4 linked regions of the Macaca mulatta genome follow. The protein of the gene in region 1 interacts with the protein of each later gene in a pairwise test. Links are inferred from orthologs where the notes say so. Each region holds a gene or a part of one and is shown in the gene's direction. Other genes may lie near its edges.

Region 1 (3,500 bases):
CTCCTCTCTGCCCTGATGGGCTGGGTTGCCCAGCCAGTGTCTGCTGAGTGGCCAGATGTCTGCCCACTGCCTGCTTCTCTCGCTGGGGGCTGCATGGGGAGGCCTGGTGTCCCAAGCTGAGGCTAGAGGCTGGCCAGGCTGGGAGACAGCCAGCCCTGATATTATCATAGACCTACAGAGGGCAGAGCCAGGCTGCCTCGCAGTAGCTCGGGGAGGAGATGGTAACCACTGTCATTGTGGAGCCCTTCACGTGTTGTTATCTCATTTATTCCTCACAACAGCCCTGTGAGGTAGGAATTATGAGGATGGTGGTTTTACTCATTTACAGATGAGGAAGTTGGGGCTCAGAGAGGTTACATGATTAGTGCAAAATCACCCAGCTAGTCTATCACAGGGCAAGTCCCACCACTCTGAGAGTCCTGGATGGCTCTGCTTCCGTCCCCCTAGAGAGCCCCCCAAGAGCCCCTGATGCCCTTGAGGACAGGCTTCTGACCCTACTTGCTCCTCTGCCACTCCAGCTCTATTGGATACAGGCTGCATGTTTACGGCAATGGAAGGCCTCCGGGGGTCCCCAACTGACCCTAAATCTGATGAGGGGGTGGTAACTCAAGGTTAAGTGGAAAGAACACTGGCCAGGATTTCAAAGACCTGGATTCCAGTCCTGGCTCTGCTGGTGTGTGGCTGGGGAGAAATAAGCACCACTTTTCCCATCTGTACAACAGATAGATTAAAATTCATGATCCTCTGGGGCTTTCAAAGCTCCACATTCAGCAGTTCCTTCACTAGACCCTCCCCAGCTGCTGGACTGGAACAGGGAAGGACTGGGAATGCCACGTGCAGTGCAAGATTTGGGACTGTAGGGGGCCCCCTTTGCACAAACATCACCAGGACCAATTTGGGATCCGGATCCATGTCGGTAGAGGAACCCTGTGTTGGTAGAGGAACTCTTGGGAGGCCCAGGGCCCTAACTCCACTTAGAACAGAAGCTTAGCTCAGTGACATGAGTGGGTTCTACTTCACGAGTGTCCCTCACTGTGGGACCAGCAGCAGATGCTGGTGTCTGGGGAAAAGGTCTGGAGACCACGTTCTGGCCCCTCGCTGTTGCATGCTCACTCACGGCCTCCCCTGCCCACCCACACCCCATTACTTCCTCTCCTGAGCCTCCTTGGCCCCACAGGGGATCTGACCAAATGATCTTCAGGTCATTCCAGCACAGTCTAGGTTTCCAAAAAGACACCTGCTCATCACATAAGTCAGAAGGGACAGAAGTGGTCTTAACTCCTGAAATATCCAGCATTCTCAACCCAGGGGTCTGTGGCATCCCCCCAGCTCAAGAGTTTCTGCAGTTGCTGAGGCAATGGGATTTGAGCTGGAAGACTGCACGGCTTGGTGGGCTGTGGACGTCGGGTAGCCCCTGCTTGTGTGTTTGAGTCTTTGAATGGCCAGGATGCGCTGATTCCCTGTGTGGCATATAAAAGCCACCTCATCCCTTGCACTCTCACTGAGGCGTGAACACACAGGTGCAAGCAAGCCCGTGTGCACACCTGTGTGCATGTGTGTTTCTCAGCAGCCAGCCTGTCTCTTGTGGAAATGGACTGGGAGCTCTTAGGTTCTGGCCCAGCTAGGGATGGGGAGCGGGTCTGTGGGAGCCCGACACCTGGCAGGGCCCTCTGACAACTACTCTCCTTGTCTTTCAGCCCATGAGGCTCCCAGTCCCCACTGAGTGCGACCCTGAAGGATGTCCCAGCTCTCCTCCACCCTGAAGCGCTACACAGAATCAGCCCGCTACACAGATGCCCACTATTCCAAGTCGGGCTATGGTGCCTATACCCCCTCCTCCTATGGGGCCAACCTGGCTGCCTCCTTACTGGAGAAAGAGAAATTTGGTTTCAAGCCGGTCCCCGCCAGCAGCTTCCTCACCCGTCCCCGTACCTATGGCCCCTCCTCCATCCTGGACTATGACCGGGGCCGCCCCCTGCTGAGACCCAACATCACTGGGGGAGGTAAGCGGGCAGAGAGCCAGACCCGGGGTACTGAGCGGCCTTCAGGCAGTGGCCTCAGTGGGGGCAGTGGATTCCCTTATGGAGTGAGCAACAACTGCCTCAGCTACCTGCCCATGAATGCCTATGACCAGGGGGTGACCCTAACCCAGAAGTCGGACAGCCAATCAGACCTGGCCCGGGATTTCTCCAGCCTCCGGACCTCAGATAACTACCGGATAGACCCCGGGAACCTGGGTCGCAGCCCCATGCTGGCCCGGACGCGCAAGGAGCTCTGCACCCTGCAGGGGCTCTACCAGGCAGCCAGCCGCCCTGAGTACCTGGTGGACTACCTGGAGAACTATGGTCGCAAGGGCAGTGCATCTCAGGTGCCCTCCCAGACCCCTCCTTCACGAGTCCCTGAAATCCTCAGCCCAACCTTCCGACCCATTGGCCGCTACACGCTGTGGGAGAAGGGAAAGGGTCAGGCCCCTGGGCCCAGCCGCTCCAGCTCCCCGGGGAGAGACAGCATGGTGAGTTTACCCTTGGGGACCGGGGATGGGCTGGGGAGGCAGCCACTGTTGCAGAACAGCCAGGCTGAGGGCTTGACTCCCAACCTGACTGATGATTGACGGCAGCCGGTGGCTGCTCCTGGTGGAGACAAACAAGAGAGGTCATCCCAGCACGTCTGGTGCCCCTGGGGCTCCGTGCCGAGGGGAGGGGCTTTCCTGCTCTGCCTAGAAAGCCCACTCAGGGCCTGTGCACTCGAGGACAGTCCAGTAGTGTTCTCAGGAATGCTCCGCTGCCCCCAGTGAACCACTCTTCTCACCTTCTCCTTTTCCATCTGAGATGCCAGTGCCTCCTGCAGGCCCTGCCCCGACCTGGGCTGGATGCGGGGGCCCCAGACCACCAGTGCACCCAGTAGCAGGAGGGCGTCCTTGCTGCGGTTACATCTCCCCTCTTGTGCAGGTTTTATTCCCTAGCCCCGAGGCCTGGCTTTATATTTGGACATAAGACATTAGGGGAAGAGGGACTCTCCTCTGAGTGACACTGGCATGCTCAGGACTAGGGTATCAGACAGCAAGGCTTATCATCTGGCTTTGGAGAAAGTAGTGGAGAAATTTTTATCTAGGGCTTGAGACAATCCAATACCTCTATTCCAGCCCTGCCTCAGCTGGAATGAGAGAAGAGGCTCTGCTGGAGACTGACCAAGGGCTGGCATGGCCTTGCTCGCAACTAATCTCTGAACGCGCCTCTCTTGGGGCACTGATGACATCTGCCTTTCTGTAGTTATTAGTGTGCCCATTAGGTGGCAAGCTCTCAGAGGAGGAAAACGAAATCCTATCTCTAGATCCCCTGCCACGTGCCTCCCACAACGGGAGCTGACCTGCTGATTGCATGGATGAATGGATGGATGGATGGATGGGTGGGTGGTGGGATAGGTGGGTGGGTGGATACATGGGTAGTGGCAGGTGGACAGATGCACAGGCAAGCATATGGACAGAAGGGCTGGGTGCTGTG
Region 2 (3,926 bases), on another chromosome or scaffold:
AGTGGATTGGGAAGAAAAAAAAAAATTCAAAAACATTTCCCCGAGAACTCAGGAAAGGCCTGGCTAAGCCAGGTCCAGTTGGATCTACAGCCTTGTCCTCTAACTGATAGTGTATGTCACACTTGGCTATGAGGGGGCAGCTTTGGTCCTCCAGCAGCTTCCTCTCTGCTGTGGATGGGTTTAATAATAAACAGCTCGGCCGGGTGTGGTGGCTCACACCTGTAATCCCAGCACTTTTGGAGGCCGAGGTGGGTGGATCACGAGGTCAGGAGTTCGAGACCAGCCTGGCCAATATGGTGAAACCCCGTCTCTACTAAAAATACAAAAATTAGTGTATTTTGTATTTTTAGTGGCGTGGTGGCACATGCCTCTAGTCCCAGCTGCTCTGGAGGCTGAGGCAGGAGAATTACTTGAACCTTGGAAGCTGAAGTTGCAATGAGCCAAGATCGCGCCCGCTGCATTCCAGCCAGGGCGACACAGCGGGACTCCGTCTCAAAAAACAACAACTCACCGAGGTCTCCAGCAGCCCATATGGCCCAGATACCTAAAGACCTTCCCACATGCTGCCTTGAGTGCCATGGCGGGTGGGAGCCCCTGGGGCCTCCCTGCAATACAGGACAACTTCCTGTTTGTGCCTGTGGGTAGGATTTTATGAGTCTAAGAGAAGCCCAGTCATGCCCCGTGGGGGGTCAGAACCGGCAGGCCTGCTCACCTGGGCAGACACCTACTCTAGGGAGGGGGCTGTGCTGGTTCTGCTTGGGCAGCCCCACGCTGAGGTGTGTGCATGGTGGGGGCAGGTGGGAGCTGCTCTGGTGAAACTCGAGCCTCCTTTGTCTGATTCCCAGGGGTTTTCCCTATATTTGGGGATTGGGTCAAGAGTGGACCGGGTTGGGCTCCCAACGGAGCAGGGAGGGTGGCAGAGTCAAGTTCTATAGGGCAGCTTAGTTTAAGGCAGCCAGGTAGTCGAATTATCGGTCACGAGATGCTCGCCCCCTTCCCCACGTCAAAAACCAAATCCAGTAAACTGTGAAGGCGAAGGCCAGAGGGGCAGCCTCGGCCACCGTCGAGTCCCTGTGGGGCTGGGAACTGGGTAGGCTGTTGGTGGAGTGCGGGACAGACCCCTCCCCTCCCTGGGTGGGGGGCGCGGCCTGAGCCGCCCCGCCCCGCCCCACCAGGTCAGGCCAGGCGGGCGCCCGGAGCCGGGAGCCGGGAGCCCGGAGCCGGGAGCCGGGAGCCCGGAACCCGGAGCCCGGAGTTCGGAGCCCAGAGTTCGGAGCGGGCTAGGGAGGCGGCGTTGTCGCGGCAAGGAGGTGGGCGCGCTGGAGCAGGAGCGGGGCCAGAGCTGGAGCCGAGGCGCAGGTGGCGCTGGGTGAGTGGTGGGGCCGCGGAGGTGCAGGAACTCCTGCTTCCCGCACATCCCCGCTCCTGAACGAACTTTCCGCTTCTGGGGAAGCTAGGGGTGGAGTGAGGAGGGGGGTCCGCACTTGGTGGGTCGCCCGCGAAGAGTCCAAACAGGGAAGCGACACGAAAACGCACGCCGACGGGCCCCAAACACGCGTGCACAGACCCACGCCCGCACTTGGGACACGCGAACACACATGCAGTCGGAAAGGACGCGCCCAGTTTTCTACCCTTGCACTCCCAGGGACAGCGCCAATCAGCCCGCGCGGACCCACAGCGGGCAGGGCACTCTGCGGTCGCGCATTGGGTGCGGGAAAGGGGCAGCCCCGTGACCGCCGACGGGGGCGGGCCGGGTGGGACGCACCCAGAGGTTCCTGCTTCCTGGCCGCCCACAGGTGAAGACGAAGACGTAAACAGGCGCCGGGCACGTGACAGCTCCGCACACCAGTGGCCTGTGCCCCCAACCCCACCACGAGGCGCGTTTGCTTGGTTCCAGGCCGGACGGCGTTCCATTCTCCTCCTGGAGCCGGGATAAGCCCTCTCCCAGGAACCGGAGCACAGCGCCCCCTGGAGCCGGGGCGGAGCAGGAGGGCCGGGCTGCTGGGCAGGGCTGGGGTTAACCTGGGCTCCTGTACGTCCTTCCCCCAGCACATTCTTGGTATCTGCATCCCCGAAGGTTTCGGAGACAGGCCCTTGATGGCAGTGGACAGCTGCCCCCGCCTATTCCCGCCAGCCCAGAGAGCAGCTGCCTGAGCGCCTGCGGGTCCCCTTCCTACCCTCACCTCCACTCCTTGCCGGAGTAGGAGTCTCCTCCCCCGCAGAAAATGCATGAGTGTAAACGCCCCCTCAATACCAGAGTGGGCCTAGACCCCTAGAAAAAGGAGGACGAGCCCCTGCCCCCAGGGAATGAGGGAGTGGGCAGTAGCTCGATGCCTTCTTCCCGCCCCACCCCCTACCCCTACACACACGCTGAGCCCAGCTGCCGCCTGAGCTGGGCAGGCTGCCAGAAAGGGGAGGAGGTTCTCGGTGCCCCAGGAGGCAGGGATCAGGGCAAGGCCAGAGGAGGGGGCTCTGTTGGGGAGAGGGGCTCAGTCTGTTCTTGTGAGGCTGAGGGTCTGGGGTGAGTCTGAGGGTGGCTGGGCTGTGTTTCCCTTTCCAGGGAAAAAGAAAGAAAAACAACCCTGTCCATGGAGCTAAAAATAGAGCTGAGAGCCGGCCAGGGCTGTGGCCTGGAAGGGGGGGATGCTCCTTCCTGGGGCCCGGGCGAGCTCTGGCAGGCCTTGGCCCTGCGGGGGAGGGGGTGGTTAGGGGAGAAAGGCTGTCTTTGCCCAGGGATGCAGGCATCAGCTGACCTGACCGGGTCACCGAGACCCCTAGGGGAAAGGCTGTGCGGTAGAATATTTGCGAAGCATGGCTGTAAGAAGTTGTCTGTGTGAGTGACTGTGAATAGAGGCTGTCAATGCGTGAAAGATGGTTAGGAGACTAAGTGCATTTGAGACAGTGACTGGGTGCGAAGGACTGCGGATTGTTGTGGAAGCCTGTGCCCAACAGGCCTGTGACACCGTGTCTGTGTGTGAGTTGGACTGGAAGATTATGGAAAGAAGGAACGCGGACCCACGTGACAGCTGAGACTGCTTGTGGCTGCGTGGTGAGGCTGCATGTGGGAAAGGTCGCGTGGGTGTTAGGGAGACTGTATTGTGTGCGAGAAGGTGAGAATATTTGCGACCTTGAGAAAGTGGAATGTTGTCTGCCGTGCGGCTCCTGTAGGTTTGGGCTGTAGGCTTGGACCGGTTTGCCCCAGTGATTGTTGGGGAGCCAGGGGCCGCTTCTCTCCGAGAAATGACCTCTGTCTTAGCAAGCGGTCCCGAGGGGAGGCTGGGGAGCACGGGGCCGCGCCAGAGGCCGGCCTGGGTTCGCGGGGAAAAGGGCACCGTACCGGGGAGTGGGTCAGGGCCCGCGTGGTGGGGGGCGGCTGGGTGTGTTCTCCGAGGGGGCCGCCAGGTGGCGCCGCCTCTGCGAAGCCCAGGTTGCCGCCTCCAACCCGCCCCTGGTGAGGCAGGTGCGGACACAGCCTCGGCCTCCGACTCGCGCTAGGGCGCGGGGCCCCGGCACCGGAGAGTGGGGGACGGCCGGTCGTCGACCTCTCTCGCTTGGGACTCTGAGGCTGAGAGCGTGTCAAGGAAGCTTCGCTTGGAGAAGCGGAGGGGGAGGGGCGGCCGCCGCCGTGCCGTGGCCCTTTGTGCTGGAACAATGACCAGCTGCCGCTGGCCCCGGGGCCCCGGCTGGGGCGGAGGGTGACCACCGCCGCCGCCGCGTCGAGCCGAACCGAGCCGCCGGACACGCAGTCACAAGGCGTCGGAGGCAGGGCTCCCGACTGCCGCCGAGCAGCCCCTACGTGCGCCCCGGGCGATTCGCGTGACGCGGGTGCCTGCGCGTGTCCCTGCGCGTGTCCGCGTCCCGGGGCGGAGACGCCCCTCGGACCCTCCCCCGCGCGGCGCCGCCCACTCGCACTGGGCGGGGGCTGG
Region 3 (4,138 bases), on another chromosome or scaffold:
AGTGAAACCCATTACTACTAAAAATACAAAAAGTAGCCAGGTGTGGTGGCACGCACCTGTAATCCCAGCTACTCAGGAGGCTGAGGCAGGAGAATCGCTTGAACCCAAGAGGTGGAGGTTGCAGTGAGCCGAGATTGTACCGCTGCACTCCAGGCTGGTCAACAGAGCGAAAATCCGTCTCAAAACAAAACAAAACAAAACAAAAAACCATGTATGATTCATGAGAGATTTGGTTTTACTGCTGTTGACATTTTGGAGTGTACAGGAGAAACTAGTGAAAAACTGTTTCAAGGTGAGCTTCTCAGACAGGATTTGATCAATTTATTATTTAGTGATAAACATCCGTGGCGTTACCCTTGTGTGCCAGGCACCACGCTAGGCAGTGAGTGTTTAGACGAACAACGAGCAAAGGTGTCTTTTATAATAGGGATGGGAACCCTGGGGTTTCCAGCCTTGCGAGTGCTGTGTCAGGAGGATACTCTAGGAGGCCAAACGCTTGCACTTTTATGTTTTTGTTCTTAGTACTTGTTGATTTGTCACCTTCTTTTTTTGAAAAGCACAGGGGAAAATGGCTAGCGATCCTAGCACTGTTTGTTCATCCAACCATGGAAACCTGACCATTTTGTAGATTTTGAAACAGTCAGTGACTCAAAATACTATCAAATGCCCAAGCAATCTCTTGGAAAGATGGGATGGCGGAGAAACAGACCTCAGATAGGAAGTCACCCAGGACAGGAACCAGATGGGGTGGTGGTTAGGGTTCCGTTGCAGACAACAGAGTCCACTTTCACTATTTAAGTGAAAAGTGATTAATCATCAGGTGGCAGGTGGCTTTCAACTCAGTGGAGCCCGCTGGGTGGAGCTTCCAGGATAACTCTCAGCCCCCCGAATTGCACTGCCTCTGCCGTGACTGAGCAGGACAGTGCAACACCCAACACGGCACCTCATCGCCTCCGCCATGACGCACATCAGCACAAGGGGAGCCTGTCCCTCAACTGTCTTGACATTTAGCTCAGTTTTGAATTCAAGTCTCTCCCAAGAGCGTTTGATTGGAAGACTCAATCATCTTCAAAATGTGAGCCACAAGGGCATCTGGAAAAGCAGTTTCTAGCTTTCCTATCTGCAGCACAGGAAGGCACATTAGGATGAGGTATTGATCCAGCCGATCTATGGTATCGGTTGCAGTTCATTAAAATATTGAGATTTTCTCTACAAGAGCACCCTCAGGCCTGGACCTCGATCACTGCCCACCCCCTCCCCCACACCGTATTTATCATTTGCTTTTCAGGACAGATGGCCTTTTAGTCCAGGCCTAGGCAGGGCTTATTTTGGGGGCTGATGTTTTTAGCAGAGCTTCCAATCACTTGTGAAAATGTCGTGGAAACAGAGGTGGATGTTGCTGAGCCTTCCTGGCCTGTTGGCTGTGGAACTGCAGCTGACATAAATGGCTTAGCTTCTGCGGCTAGCCTTGTGGTGCCCTTAGAAACGGATGACTCCTCTGGGCCAAAGTCACCCCAAGCCAGAATACACAGCCTGGCCAGCAAAGCAAGGGTTGGCTTTCAGTCCCCACTTGTCCCTTGACCATGCACCTTTGTGTGCAGTGTACAACCTGTGCAACTACATGCAACAGCTCTGTGGTTTGGGCCATGTCTGTTTCCACCACCAGCAGAATGGGAAGGCAACTGCCAGGGCCTGGCCTGGTTAGCAGGGCTGTGTGGAAGGCTCACAGTACCTCTCTCTCCTCTTCCTCACAGAGATCCCCCAGTGTGCTGGCTGCAACCAGCACATCCTGGACAAGTTCATCCTGAAGGTCCTGGACAGACACTGGCACAGCTCCTGCCTCAAGTGTGCAGACTGCCAGATGCAGCTGGCGGACAGGTGCTTCTCCAGGGCCGGGAGCGTCTACTGCAAGGAGGACTTCTTCAAGTAAGTCAGAACGGTCCCTGTCGTGGCCCTGGCCTGTCTCTGCCTCTCCCCATGCAGTGAGGGGGAAGTTTGCAGCGGGGTAGGCCAGGGAGGGTGGAGAGTCCACTCTGGGAGGGGCAGGTAAGTCCTGGAGCTGAGAGGATGCCCCTTGTTGAGCTCCCCCTTCTGATCAGTGGCCCATCACTGCCGGAGGTCCAGCCTCTAGGCCTCATTTGATCTCTGCATGGGGCAGGGGTGAGGAGCCAGAGGCTTTGGGCCATATTTCTCCAGGGTGGTTGACAAAGGAGTCCTGCAGATCTCCTTTGCTGCTCCAAAGAGCAACAGAAAGATTTGCTCTTTCTTTCTGTCCTGATATATTAGCACTTCAGGGCATGTGGTCGTAACATTACCACAACTTTCAGAGCAGGTGCTTTTAGGTTCGTGTCCACATCTAGAAGCATCTCCATGGCTGTGTTTACACAGCCTGCTTCAAGGGCCTTTGAGGCTTGCAAGAGTTGCTTCTGGCAGGAGGCACAGCCAGGCTCAGTCAGTGTCGTCACTTTATATGGAAACATGATCAAGAAAGAGGCAGTTTCGTGTGATGGTTGAGTCCAGACTCTGCCTGAATTTGAATGTACTTATTGGCGGTGTGCTCTTGGGAAGGTTGCTTAACTTCTCTGTGCCTCAGTTTGTTTATCTGTAAAATGGGGTTCACAGTAATAGTCCCTACCTCAGGAGGTTTTTATTAACTTTAAATAAGTCTATTTATGCATCACGTCCTCAGGACAGTGCCTGACACTATTAGCTCTTAAGACTGTGAGATTTTTCATTCTGGGGTGGGGTTCATCAAAAACCTCCTGTTGGAGCTTTGGGTCAGGGTGAGAAGACCTCCTGGAAGGTGTTTTCCATGGCATTTAGTCCTCGACTTCTCCCCCAGAATCTATTACCCAAGGCACTGATGTGGGTGCCTTAGCCGACGTGGCGCAGCTGGCAACAAGCGAAGCCAAGAGCGGGAGGTGGGGGTCAGGGATCAGTGACGCTGAGCCCTGTGTTCAGTCACACTAGCCTGGGTGGCCCAGGGGCTGCCGGGCAGGCTCGCCAAGGCCTGAGCACACTCAGCCCAGATAACCAAGCCCCACAGAGGCACCTCATGCTGAAGCTGTGTATTCGGGAGATGGGGGTTGAGGGGAGTAATGGGGAGGAATGTGAGTGCCGGATACAGAACACAATTTCTCCCACATCTTCCCAAAGGTTTCACTACAGAGAATAAGTGGTTTGAATATCTGAGGATGCTCATATTTCTTTAGTGCAATGAGTTGAAGAGCACATTAAAAATCTTGGTAACTACTGCGTGCGGCTGCCTCCCTGGCTGTGTGCAGAGGATGCACTCACTGTCACCATGGTACTTTGCTCAGATATGTGCTGCTCCCTACGTGTGAGTGTGTGTGTGAGTGAGTGTGTGTGGGGCTGTGAGTGAATGTGTGTGTGTGTGTGAGTGTGTGTTGACTATAGGAAGGCAGGGGCAGCCGGTGACACGGGCGCCCAGCAAGTCCTTCATGTTTGGGTGGAGGGACAGGCCTCTGGTCCTCCCTCTGAGCTTTTTGTGTACTGCTCTTCTTTCTCACAATCTTCCTGTTGCTTTCCCACCTCTCACCCTCCTCTAGTTTCCTTTTTTCTGGCATTCATGCAATTCCATTCCCTCTAGCCACATCCTTTCTCAGTGGGCAACAGGAGTTTGCCTTTGTTTTCCTCCCTCTATGATGTAATGGCCAAGCACCACAGCAGCTGTTCCGGGACCCTGGGTGGGGTGAATTTCACTGTGTGTGTGTGTGTGTGTGCGCGTGTGTGTGTGTGCGCGCGCGCGCGGGCGTTGTGCACCCGGGTGCATATGTGAACATAATGTGTGTGTGAAGAGGGCAGGAGGAGGCAGGTGGGAGGGCCTGGCCTTGGGGTCGGGTGAGCTGCCCTGCTTCTGTGATGAGGTGTATGCAGGTGTGTGTGCCTGCACCTTTGGGAAGCCAAGAGGTCATGCCTCCGCTTGCCCATCTTGGGGCAGGGTAGGTGCTGGAATGTCCGAGTCAGACCTCAGGGCCCACCAGTTTCTGACTGGTCCAGTGTGGCAGCTGAGGGAAGCCTGTGGGGTACGAGCAAAGCCTGTCAGGGCCACTGACCCAGGGCTTCATCGCCAGAGGGCCGCCTTGCACCCCCAGTGTTTCCTCAGGGCCATGTCTGA
Region 4 (4,292 bases), on another chromosome or scaffold:
TCCAGAGTGCTTCCAGGTCCACTAGGGAATACACACGCGCACATACACACACACATACGTGTGTATTTATATACTAAAATATATATAAACATTAATAATGCAAGATGGGGCAGGGTGCGGTGTCTCACGCCTGTAATCCCAAAACTTTGGGAGGCCGAGGCAGGCGGATCAGGAGTTCGAGAGCAGCCTGGCCAACATGGTGAAACCCCGTCTCTACTAAAAATATACTAAAAATACAAAAATTAGCCGGGCGTGGTGGCAGGCGCCTGTAATCTCAATTACTTGGGAGGCTGAGGCAGGAGATTCGCTTGAACCTGGGAGGCAGTGAGCTGAGATCGCACTGCTGCACTCCAGCCTGGGCAACAAGAGCAAAATTCCGTTTCAAAAAAAAAAAGCAAAATGGATTGTAAGAGGTATATATCTAATATATAATGTATATACTATAATGTATATAGTATATATTATATAATATATAATACATAATTGTATAATATATTACATATTATAATACATATAATATACAGCAAAGTTCTTAAAATTGTTTTTAAAATGTATCTCTTATATAATATATAATATATAAAATTATATATAATATATAAATTTGTGAAATTATAAATTTGTGAAATTATATATTATATATAATAATGTATATTATATAAAATATATAATATATAATATATATTTTATAGATATATGTTATATATTATATAAAATATGTTATATATATTTTATAAAATACATAATATATGTTATTATACATATATAAATGTAGGACTCCATTTCTTAGGGGCCTTGGAGGGGAGAAAGTCACACCCATACACACATGTACACGCATGTATACAAAAATGAATATATGCTCAGATATATACAATATATAAATATATTTATATATACAATATATAAATGGGCAAATATAAAATCCCCTTGGTGCCAACGAATCCATTCATTCATCAAATATTTGAGCGTCCACTTTGCCTAGAACCAAGTTATCTGTTGGGATGAGCAAGGCATAAAAGGTTCTAGCTCTCATAGAACTTAGAATTCTACTGGAGGAAGATGAGAACAAATACAAAATGTAAGCAGTGCAAGTGCTGTAAAAACAACACAGAGCTTTGTGGCAGTGATGCTTAGAATGCCCCTGGTGTTCCATTGGGTGTTCAGGCAGGGGGAATGGACTCGGAGGTGAACTATGAGCCGAGATTCGTTTTATAAACGGGAACACTGACACATGGACACTTGAAGGGCCTTGGTGGCCGGAAAACTGAAGGCACGTTCCCATCCGTCTTGGAACCACTCTCCCGAATAGCAGTTTCAGGGAGCTGCTGAAGCCATAACCAGCCGGTCTCAGAGTCCAAGAACGCCTGCGCAAAAGGACGCCGTCAGCTTGACGTCAGCGCGCCGGGCTCTGGCCCGCCCCCTGTGGCACCAGCCCCGCCCCGCCCCGCCCCGCATACCCGCGGGCTGCCGCGCATGCTCCGAGCCCCGCCCCCGTGCGTCACAGAATGGCCTCGGACACCCAGGCAGTCCCTGACGTGTCGGGGAGGAGCCGGGAGCGGAGGTGCGCGGAGTGGAGCTCGGGGCTGCGGAGGGGAGCTGAGCCGAGCGGCTGGGCGGGCCTGGCCAGGCCAGCGGAGCGGAGACGTGGGTCGAGCGGCGGCGAACATGCGCTTTTGACACATTGGAGGTGAGCCTGCACCGCGGGACCTCTCCCTAAGGGGCTGCGCTGGGCCGGCGGCGCCGAGGCCTGCCCTTGGGGAGCCTTCCCGGCCCGGGGCCGTGTCTGAGGCTCCGCCGGGGCGGGCCGGGCCGGGCCGGCTTCTGGGGCGGCCAGCCCAGGGACAACTGTTCCAACCGCTCTAACTGTCCCCTCCCTTCCCTGGTCCGACGTGTGGTCCCCCCAGGGGCGCCTGCAAGGGAACGATCCCTGTGGCCTCCGGAGGATGTGCCCCGTTCCGGGTGGGGTGAGGGCTGGCGGTGACGGAGGCCGGGACGTGGCACCGTGGGCTGGGGCGCTGGCGGCGCAAGGAGTGGCCCAGTCGGAGGTGGCAGCGGCGCGCCCAGCCTGCCGCCTCCTACCCCCTCCCTGAAATTCCTTCATTTGCGAGGGTGTCTTGAAGCGGGGTTGCATTTCGATCTCTCAGTGCGTCTCTCCCATGGGGGGCGAGAGCGCGAGCAGCCCACGTTGGGCTCGGATTGGCATTCCCCTGACTCCCGCCCAGAACTGCTAATCATCCTCCCCTTGGAGTTCGGGAAAGTGTCACGAACGGGCTCGGGTTACCTGTGCTCGACTCTTTTCGAGCTGTAAGCCACGAGATGACCCTTTAAGTTTTGCAAAGCAGGTGAAAGTTCTATCCCTACTAATTATTACGTTCTATTTACGTAGCACCTTTACACGCTTCAGAACTCTCTTCCTATCTCTTTCAAACCGCATCACCTTGTGGTTGCAGCTGATTATGTTATCGCCATTTCGATGGAGAAATGGAGCTGGAATGGGGGTAATTGATTTATACTTAGGTTCAATCAACTGGTGAGTGGCTTAGCTTGGATCATAATTTACATTTCTAGGCTCGGAGTTCTGGTTTCTTTTCGTGGGATTTTTATACCCTTCTCAGCTAGAAAACAAGGCAGAAAATGTGACTTGCCAAAGGTATGCCAGAAGCTGGTTGATTACTTACTCAATTATTTTTGAGCAAACTCACCTAGGATAAAAACTGCTGCTCAGTCATGAGAAAAATCTTACTGTGAAGCTTGTTCAGGAGTTGCTGGTTAACATTGTGTCAGCTAAACTGTGTTGCTCTTAATGTGCTTAAAAGACAGGGTAATGTCTTTGCTAAATCATGAAGTTGATGGGCACAATGCAGCGTTAAGTCATGGCCTGAAGAGAAGTAAAGGGGAACCAAGTGAAGTATCTCTTCTAAATTATTATTAAAATTATTGTTATTTAAAATTAGAGTGCATGAGAAACAAAACCTTTGGCCAGCCCTGGTTAGAGGTTGACTTGATCCAGATGGAAGTTGTTAAATCTTCTGAAACTGTAGTTGTTTTGATTTTTTTTTAAATTAAATAGATTGAAGTTGGATAAGGAGCTTAAAATAAGTAGGAACCTTAGTAAAACTTAGATCCTGCTTTCATGAGATCTGCAAAACAACGTATTTTCATTGTAAACCATGCTGAGATAAATTTGGTTACTAAAGCTTAAAATTACTTCTGACGTAAGTTTCTGAGCACTCCATAAAGTAGAAAAAGAAGTCTGATAGAATCAAAGAGAGACCATGTTTATGATCAACTTCGAAGAGTTAAAAATTCTGTAAATGTCACCTTTGAGAGCAGTAGAATTTCGGTAAAAAGGCATGTATTACCAACATACCAACATGTAATTACTCCAGCGTCATTAGTCCATCTTAGAACTGTTAACCAGAAACAATATTGAAAATAGATTTTCTTACCATTATGCAAAGAGTAATTTCCTTGTAAATAAAAGGCATTTTGGACAGGCTGTTTTCAATTCAAACGAGTTGATTGTTGCTAGGTTTCTGAAGGTCATACATTGTATGATAATGCTTTCCGTAAAAATTGTCATGCTTTTGAGACTCTGTCCATATTGAGACCTGATGTTAAATAAAGATGGGGTGGGGGTGGGCAGAGAATAATAATTTTTTTTTTTTTTTTTTTGATGGAATCTCCCTCTGCCGCCCAGGCTGAAGTGCAGTGGCACGATCTCGGCTCACTGCAACCTCCACCTCCCAGGTTCAAGCGATTGTCTTGCTCAGTCTCCTGAGTAGCTGGGATTACAGGTGCGTGCCATCATGCCCTGCCAGTTTTTGTATTTTTAATAGAGACAGGGTTTCACCATGTTGGTCAGGCTGGTCTCGAACTCCTCACCTCGTGATCTGCCCGCCTCAGCCTCCCAAAGTGCTGGGATTACAGGCATGAGCCACCGCGCCCTGCCAATAATACATAATTATCTATCTTCATTCTAGCTTCAGAAAATTGTGGATGTACCATTAGAGCATTGTTTTAGCAATGTGTTTTCTATATTGGCTAACTTTCTATAGCGTGAAAATCTCTAATTATATAGTTTCAAATAACAGTGAACACATCCTCCCAGTGTAACTTGAAGCAAACTGAACAGACTGTAACACAGTCCCTGAAACTGTTATTTGAGTATCTGCAGTGGTAGCAAATTTTATTATTTGTAAATAATCTGATTTTTGTTTTCATTTTTTTGGAGACAGGGTCTCATTTTTGTCACCCAGGCTGGAGTGCAATGGAACGATTACGGCTTACTGCAG

Evidence for each region.
Region 2: the proteins of USP2 (region 1) and LZTS2 interact in binary tests that used the Homo sapiens proteins (3 or more experiments, as listed by UniProt). The two-hybrid records come from large-scale screens. The link is inferred for Macaca mulatta from reciprocal best matches to the Homo sapiens genes USP2 and LZTS2.
Region 3: the proteins of USP2 (region 1) and LHX4 interact in binary tests that used the Homo sapiens proteins (3 or more experiments, as listed by UniProt). The two-hybrid records come from large-scale screens. The link is inferred for Macaca mulatta from reciprocal best matches to the Homo sapiens genes USP2 and LHX4.
Region 4: the proteins of USP2 (region 1) and NDEL1 interact in binary tests that used the Homo sapiens proteins (3 or more experiments, as listed by UniProt). The two-hybrid records come from large-scale screens. The link is inferred for Macaca mulatta from reciprocal best matches to the Homo sapiens genes USP2 and NDEL1.

What each region holds. Positions count from the first base shown.
Region 1 is NC_133419.1:120,062,374-120,065,873, reverse strand, and holds part of USP2 (ubiquitin carboxyl-terminal hydrolase 2), read left to right. Parts: intron 1-1,697; 5' UTR 1,698-1,738; coding exon 1,739-2,512; intron 2,513-3,500. UniProt on the Homo sapiens protein: Hydrolase that deubiquitinates polyubiquitinated target proteins such as MDM2, MDM4 and CCND1. Isoform 1 and isoform 4 possess both ubiquitin-specific peptidase and isopeptidase activities.
Region 2 is NC_133414.1:113,059,452-113,063,377, forward strand, and holds the start of LZTS2 (leucine zipper putative tumor suppressor 2), read left to right. Parts: upstream 1-1,126; 5' UTR 1,127-1,369; intron 1,370-1,765; exon of another isoform or gene 1,766-2,032; intron 2,033-2,680; exon of another isoform or gene 2,681-3,110; intron 3,111-3,926. UniProt on the Homo sapiens protein: Negative regulator of katanin-mediated microtubule severing and release from the centrosome. Required for central spindle formation and the completion of cytokinesis.
Region 3 is NC_133406.1:37,656,736-37,660,873, forward strand, and holds the start of LHX4 (LIM/homeobox protein Lhx4), read left to right. Parts: upstream 1-1,338; coding exon 1,339-1,551; intron 1,552-1,705; coding exon 1,706-1,926; intron 1,927-4,138. UniProt on the Homo sapiens protein: May play a critical role in the development of respiratory control mechanisms and in the normal growth and maturation of the lung. Binds preferentially to methylated DNA.
Region 4 is NC_133421.1:9,937,864-9,942,155, forward strand, and holds the start of NDEL1 (nuclear distribution protein nudE-like 1), read left to right. Parts: upstream 1-1,492; 5' UTR 1,493-1,502; coding exon 1,503-1,592; exon of another isoform or gene 1,593-1,624; coding exon 1,625-1,684; intron 1,685-4,292. UniProt on the Homo sapiens protein: Required for organization of the cellular microtubule array and microtubule anchoring at the centrosome. May regulate microtubule organization at least in part by targeting the microtubule severing protein KATNA1 to the centrosome.